Linked DNA regions of Ovis aries. The protein of the gene in region 2 purifies or fractionates together with the protein of the main gene of each other region. This does not show direct contact. Links are inferred from orthologs where the notes say so. Each region holds a gene or a part of one and is shown on either strand. Other genes may lie near its edges.

The links.
Region 1: the proteins of KCNQ1 (region 2) and NEDD4L purify together in Homo sapiens (affinity purification with western blotting, with the first as the bait; 3 studies listed by BioGRID). This does not show direct contact. The link is inferred for Ovis aries from reciprocal best matches to the Homo sapiens genes KCNQ1 and NEDD4L.

What each region holds. Positions count from the first base shown.
Region 1 is NC_056076.1:57,724,770-57,728,510, reverse strand, and holds the start of NEDD4L (E3 ubiquitin-protein ligase NEDD4-like), read right to left. Parts: upstream 2,872-3,741; 5' UTR 2,747-2,871; coding exon 1,667-2,746; intron 1-1,666. UniProt on the Homo sapiens protein: E3 ubiquitin-protein ligase that mediates the polyubiquitination of lysine and cysteine residues on target proteins and is thereby implicated in the regulation of various signaling pathways including autophagy, innate immunity or DNA repair.
Region 2 is NC_056074.1:45,517,444-45,521,184, reverse strand, and holds the start of KCNQ1 (potassium voltage-gated channel subfamily KQT member 1), read left to right. Parts: upstream 1-1,202; 5' UTR 1,203-1,304; coding exon 1,305-1,666; intron 1,667-3,741. UniProt on the Homo sapiens protein: Pore-forming subunit of the voltage-gated potassium (Kv) channel involved in the regulation of cardiomyocyte excitability and important in normal development and functions of myocardium, inner ear, stomach and colon.

The sequences.
Region 1 (3,741 bases), on a different chromosome or scaffold from region 2:
TAACTGCAAAATGATTTCAAAGTCTGATAAGTTGTCAAAACTTAGGATACGCATGTTGTCAATATTCATGTGGTAGGTGGTCCAAATTCAGCACAAAAATATGCTGCCCAAAGAAGTCTATACCTGTTGTGATGGTACTTTCTTGGGCTGAAGGTTAGAGGCTATTATCAGAATTTTGTTGAAATCTGTACCACTGTATAAAAACGGTATTGGTTCAGACCAAAAATATAGCATTTCCTAATGAAAAGACTAGAGATAATAAAAGAAAAGGGTGTATAAAAGGGAAAAGAAGAAGAAACAGTTACATTAACAGTTATAAAGTTATATTAACAAGAAAAATATACTGACATTTAGCACCTGATTATATGCCTTCAAAATGGTGAAAGACAACGATGGATCAGTGATAAAACTTACTCATATGGCAAAAAGTATTTCTCGACACAAAATAATAAAAGATGATACGGTTCCACAGCCAAACTCAGTCATCCACTTTGAAAAGTCGCAATTCACAACTGAAACCAAACACAGAGTCTCCTAGACATTTCACTGCCGTATCCTGAAATCCAGCCATCAGAGGAAATTCAAGGAAAACAACCCCAATTCAGAATACAAGGAGCCTGTCCTCTGAAAAAAAAATGAAGCACGTGGCTAGTGATTAGTAGTGAAAGAAAGCTAACTGATGAAACTTCGCATCCCATGACAAACTGTGAAAGCTGCAGTCATCATTTGCCTGGTGGAGTTAGCAGCTGTCTGTCTGTACTCCATTTCACTGAAAGGGAGAGAGCAAGAACACAGGAGCAATGAAGGCCAAAATCTGTTGCTGGGCTTCTGTTTCCACAGCTGGAGGCTGGGCACTTAACTATTCTATATACAGCAGCACAGCTTAGACACTCAAGTGGGCAGTGTTAAATTGCAGGGGTGTGCAACCTGACCATTAACAAGTCCCCCATCAGTTTCCCCTGGCCTTGGCCCTACAGGCCAATCTGCTTCAAAACACATTTCCTCCCAGCCCACAACTGTGGTTACCTCTGTTCACTCTTACTTAGTGGGACCAAAAGAAAAAAAAAAAAAAACAACCAACCCACAAAGACAATACATTATACAACCAGGGCCAGCCCTGTACAGCTAAAAGGTCATTAGGAAGAATGTGTCCAACCTGACATATGCTTAATTATGAAGAAACCAGACACGTTTAACCTGCGATTCTCTCACCTGGATTAGAACGGATTATTTTTTAAATGCCAGCGTTGTCACAGCCTGTATCTGCAAGCAGTTTTTTAACACATTTCCAATGTCAACATGCTGGGGCACGGCACATTAACTCAAAAAGTAACGACATCTTAAAAATTCTTTTTTTGAGAAGGGAGGGAAACGAGGGGGAAAGGGTTGTCCAGATTTTTCAAAACAGAGTTATGTGACTTTGAAGACCTAAGGCTACGATATTTTCTAAAATCGGCTAACTAGTTTCATGGACTTCTACCAAAGGCGGGACCACAAATCGTGGACCCAGAACCGGCCAAACACACTCAGTTACTCTGGCCCGAAGCAGGGAAAGTCCCAGAAGGGAGGAGGATGTTGTTTATTTTAATTCTGCTGCAGAATACGCCTGCTGGGCTAGAATCGGCCCCTTCCTCCTGCGGACACACGGCATCACAGGCTCACTTACCGGGGCGCCAGCTCCCGTGGAAGCCGGGCCGGCCGCGGCGGCGTCCTCCTCGGGACTCTGGGGGGCTTCCTCGGGCCCCCGAGTCACGAGGATTCTGAAGTGCTGCTGCCCCGCGTTTTGATCCTGCCTGATCTTAAACGTGCAGCCCTGGCCTTGTGGCGACCTCTCGGCCGCCGCATCGGTCCTGTGGGCATCGGGAGCCACCCTGCGGCCCCGCGGCGGCGCCTCCGGGTCTGGGTGGCCGTGCTCCTCCGGAGGACTCCCGCGCTCGGCCCGGGGCTGCGTGGGGTACGAGCTGCTCCTCTCCAGCCGGATTCGGGGATACCTCACCAACCTGTCCCCCTTGGTGCCGGTGAAGCCAAAGTTGAAGTCGCCGCCCGGTGCGGGCCCGCAGCCACCGGCTGGCGGCTGCTGCAGCTGGAAGACAAAACAGCGCTTCCCGGAGCTTCCAGAAGCGTCTGGAACGTGCTGCAGGGACCAGCGCCTGGGCTCGGGTGCTGCCGCCGCGGGGCCAGCCTGGCCCTCAGCCCCCGAGGGCGTCAGCTTCACCGGGCGCACATCGGCGCTGGACGCGCGGTGTTGGATGCGCACGGCTGGCGGCTCGGCCTCCTCGCGGCCGTCAGGGCCCGGCGCTCGGCGGCGGCCGCACGTGCCATTGAGCTGCGGGCCCGGAGCTCCGGGCCCCGCGGGAGGGGAGCCATCGCCGCTGCCGTCGTCGAGGCTCTTGGCCTCGGGGGGCTCCCCCAGCGGCTCCGTGCCCGCGTCGCCGTCGTCGGGGGCGCCGTCAGCCGCCTTGCGCTGCAGCGAGATCTGCACGGACGAGCTCCGCGTGGGCCGCGCGTCCACGGGGCCCAGCAGCTGCGGAATGAACATGGACGTGCTGCGCTTGAGCGCGCCCACGCCTCCCCGCAGGCCCGCGTCCTGCGCTCCGCTCGGGGCCAGCGCAACCGCGCCGCCCCGCCGCGGGAGCGTGTGGAATGCCATGAAAAAGTCGTCTTCTCCCTCCTGGTCTAGGATCTCCGACTCGGGGGCTGTGTTGCTGCGGCAGGAGCCAAAATGAAACCGAAGCCGATGGGCCATGGTGCCCAGAGGGCCAGGGAGGGACAGGGCGAGCAGCAACAACAGGCCCGGCGCTGCCAGCAGTCAAACCCCAAAGACACGAACTCCAAGGAAAAGCGTTCCATCTGCCAAAGCGTGAGCACTGCGGCACCAAGGGCGGCAGATAGCAGAAATAACCCAAGTGGCAAGCGGCATTCCAGGCATGATTGGATAAGAGCAGAAAGCTCTCATCCGCACTGTGACAGAGGGTAGGGTGGCCGGAACCACATGACCGCGGTCTCCCTCTCCAATGCCAGCTTCTGGACTTAGTGGAGTTTTCTTCCCCTTCTCGCTCTCATTTTTTTTTAAACAGCAAGAGCCTGAAACAGCACCTTCCCAGCTGCTGCTTTTCCATCAGACAGGAGTGGCCCCAGCGGGGAGCTCTCACAGCTGACTAAGGCAGCAAACACAGTCCGAGCTGTGCGGCTATAAATCTCAGCGCAGCGCGCTCACCGGACAGTTCTTTCCAAACCGAGCTGGGCACCCGGGCGCTGTCTCACCGATGCGGAGCAACTGGCACCCACGGCAGAAGCACACAGAGGAGCCCCCCTTCCCATCGAACCCGACAGTGACAAGTGACACTGCAGGGGCTGCAGGAAAAGCCTCTCAGGAGCAATCGGATGTTACGCGCCCCGCTTACATATGATATCACCACACTACCACGATGGAATGCAAACTAATAAAACGTACTATAAATACGATTACACACCCCACAGAATGCGTGTCCCTTTAACGCTAAATAATTAGACCATGATCTACAAGTAACAAAATAGCTGAGTGGAGGGAGGGGGGCGAACAACTTACTGCCAGTTGGGGTCTGCCTCTGGCTACCACGACATGTGTTTTATTTGAAAGATGGGGAGGGCGGGGGACGCAATCTCACACATAATATGATTCTCAGATACGGCAGTGCCAGAGGAAAGAAACCCAGCTGGAGAAAACATTCCCCCCTGTATGCCAGATAGGAGAAAAACCAA
Region 2 (3,741 bases):
GGAATCTTCCCAACCCAGGGATCAAACTACATCTCCCGTGTCTCCTGCGTTGCAGGCGGATTCTTTACCACTGAGCCAGCTGGGAAGTTCATCAAATATTCTCACCTGGAAACTCGCATTACTCTGCCTCACCTACCGCTTCCTCGTTTTTCCCTCAAATCTTCACAGTAGTAACAATCCTCCATAGAACTGCCTTTCTGATGGGAGAGTCCATGAAATAAAGCAGCCCAGGGTGCTCAGTCAAGACCTGGGAAGTGTCTCCCAGGTTGCGGGTCCCTGATGTGGTGGGCAGTTATTCCTCTGCCCGGGGCAACGTCCTAACAGAGGCCAGTTTTTTTCTGCTTGACACCCTTTCTCCCTGATGCCAGTCAACGTGCAGGGACTGAAATACCAGTGCTGGGTAGGGGACTCGAGTCCTTCTGATCCACCTGGACACCTTCGCCATTCAGGGGAGACAGGGCACCACAGCAGCCGTGTCCAGAGGGCGAGGAGGACGAGAAAGCGGTTCTCCAAGGCCTCTCCCCTGACCTGCCCAAGCAGCCCTGGGCAGCGGCGCCTGCAGGAACTCCCACGTCCTCCGGAGCACACGGCGCCCCAGCGGGCCAGATGCTGACCCACGAGGGCCCGAACGCTCCCGTTTGGCCTGCAGAGTTCACTGGCCCTGTGGGCACCGACCCGACCGCGTTCTCTCCCTGCAGCGTGCGCTGGGGCGCCCAGGGGGGCCCAGATAGTTCACGGGGCCTCGCCGCCATCCTCCCGGTGAGCCCTTCCTCCCCGTTACCCTCTGTGGAGGGACTCAGAGCCAGTGAAGAGGGTGTCCACGCCCCACTCCGTCCTCCTGCCCAAGCAGTTCGCGGTGCCGGCACCCTGCGGACCTCGCGCCGCCCCTGCTGGCTTATGTAGGAGCTTCGCGCAGGCCGCGCAGGTGGGCTTGGCGTTTGCGAGCACGTGGGCGCAGGCGGGCGGAGAAGCGAGGAGCGCGGGATGGAGCGGGCCGAGCAGGTGGGGAGGGCGGGCCGAGCAGGTGAACGCTGCAGGGGCGGGCCGAGCAGGTGGGCGCAGACGGGGCGGGGCCGGCCGGGCGCGCCGGGGCGCCGGGCGCGCACAGGTTGGTGCGGGGCGGGGCGTCCGGCCTGGGGCGGGGCTCGCCCACCCCCGGCCCGGCCCCCGGCGCCGGCCCCGCCCCCCACGCCCGGCCCGGCGGACAGCGGCCCCGGCGGGGCTGGCGGCAGCGGTCTCCCGCACGCGCCCGGGCGCCCGCCGCTGCCGCAGCTCCTGCCGCCCACCGCGGGCCCTGCCTGGCCATGGCCGCGGCCACCTCCCCTCCCAGGGCGGAGAGGAAGCGCTGGGGCGGCGGCCGCTTGCCGGGAGCCCGGCGGGGCAGCGCGGGCCTGGCCAAGAAGTGCCCCTTCTCGCTGGAGCTGGCCGAGGGCAGCCCCGCAGGCAGCGCGCTCTACGCGCCCATCGCCCCGCCTGGCGCCCCGGGCCCCGCGCCCCCCGCCGCCGCCGCCGACCTCGGCCCGCGGCCGCCCGTGAGCCTGGACCCGCGCGTCTCCATCTACAGCGCGCGCCGCCCGCTGCTCGCCCGCACTCACGTCCAGGGCCGCGTGTACAACTTCCTCGAGCGCCCCACCGGCTGGAAGTGCTTCGTCTACCACTTCGCAGTGTGAGTGTCGCCGGCGGCCGGCGCGGGGAAGGGCTTTCCGCGGGGCTGGGGAGGGCGCGCGGGCAGCGAAGTCCCCGTGCCACCTGCTGCCGGAGGGACCTTGCCGGAGCGGCGGGTCTAAGCCGGGAGGGAAGGGCAGGGTTAACGGGAAAGATCGCGGCAGCGGGGAGCCTGTCAGGTGAAGCTCAGGGCCCTGTGGGTCTGTCCCTGCGCCGGTGCGGAGCTCCCCGCTGGTGCTGCCCGGGCATGTGTGTGGGTGGCAGAGCCAGCTGGGAGCAATGCCCGTGCTCGGGGCTGGTCTGCTGGGCCCCGCAGGGCTGGCCCAGGTGTTAATCCTTGCGAGAGAGCACGTTTGCAGGGGAGAGAACTCTGGGGGGCTGAGAAACAAGAGAAGACAGGGTCCCGGTGCCCCCCAACAGGGGTGGTCTCCCCGGTCAGCAGAGCAGGGCTTTGGCAGACGGTGGCCGGCCTTGTGCTTTGGCTGAGGCGTCAGCATGGCTGAGGGGGGTGCCCATGGCCCCACGTGACCCTGACCCGGCTCCTAGAAATCTGGGTTGAGGCAGAGGGGCCTGGAGGGGTCAGGGCTGGGGCGAGAGGAGAGAGAGGGGCCCTGACTCTGCTGGTTGGTGGTGGATCAGAGGAAGCCGTGCGCCAGGCCAGAGCCGGGTCCTATTGGCGGCACCTGGCCCTACTCCTGCCTGGCCCAGCCTGGTTGGTGGCCTCTCCGTGTGGTGCCGGCCTCAGAGCCTGGGCTTGGCATCTCTGGGCTGCTCTGGGGGCTGCCCAGAGGGACCTCCCCTGATCTCCCATCGGTCGAGGCGGGTGCTTGGCCCTCCCACCTTGGCTGGCCTGGGGCTGGGAGACCCCTGGCTGCAGGGTGCCCATGGCTGTCCCTGGAACCCCAGGGAGCAGAGGGGCGGCTGTGAAGCAGGGTCTCGGTGGGCGCGGCGAGGTGGGGGGCACAGCCTGCATCCCTCACCTTCTCCCCTCCGAGCTCAGGGGGTACTAGGGGTGCGGGCAGGGTGGCCCTTCTGGAGCAGCAGGGCCAAGCCTGGAGACAGTGTCCTCAGAGGCACAGAGGGGCCACGGTCCTCCAGCCTTTGCCCCAGCCCCCTTTCCCGCCTCCCACGGGGGCAGAGGGGGCCTAGCCATGGCCATGGCCATCTGCGGAGAGGGTGGCCTTGCCCTTGGCTGCAGCGGCAGAGGCTTGCCTTGGGGTTTGGGGGTGTGTGTGTGCACCGGCACTGGGGGCCCGCGCCCCGCCTGATGCTGGCTATGTGAGCACCCGCCAACAGCAGGCTCATGGGAGCTGCCGTGCACTGCCGTCAGCTGCTGGGCCCCAAGATCCCGAGGTGCCCACCGTGTGGGAGCCCACAGCCGGTCCCGAAGCAGACCCTGCCCAGCCGCCTCTCTGGCCGGGACCCTGCGTGCCAGCTCCGGGCACAGATGGGAGGACCAGGCAGAGCACTGCTTAGGGGTCAGCAGTGCCCCCACATCCCCCGAGGGCTGCTGAGTGAGGGGCCTGCAGACACGCCACTGGTTCACATCCCGGGGTCACAGGCCCGGGGGCGCTCGCCTCGCCCCAGCTCCCTGGCGGCCGCGGTGCCTTGTGGAGGAAGAGGGCCCGCCGCACCCCAGAGGAAGTCGCTGCTTGCACTTGTGTTTTCTTCCTGATTCCGATTGTTTAGCTCTCGGAAGTTTGCTCAGCTCGGTCTGCCTTGCCCAGCCTCCCCAGGAGCTGTAGGGCCGGGGTGGCTTCTGCGGACCGTGGTGGCCTCTGGAGACAGTGGCCCAGCGGCTTCCCTGTGTGGGGAAGAGGAGCTGGGGAGGCGAGGCCCTGTGGGTGGGCTGGTGACCTTGGGCCAGTCTTCCCGCTCGCGTCCCTGTCCATAAGAGGCGGGTGCAGCCCCCCACTCAGGGTGTACAGCCCCCCACGCAGGATGTGCAGCCCCACGCAGGGTGTGCAGCCCCCCACGCAGGGTGTGCAGCCCCCCATGCAGGGTGGGGCTGCAGGTGGACTCTGGCTGGGCAGGGGATGTGGCTTCCCTGGGGCCTGGGAAGGTGTCCTCTCGTCT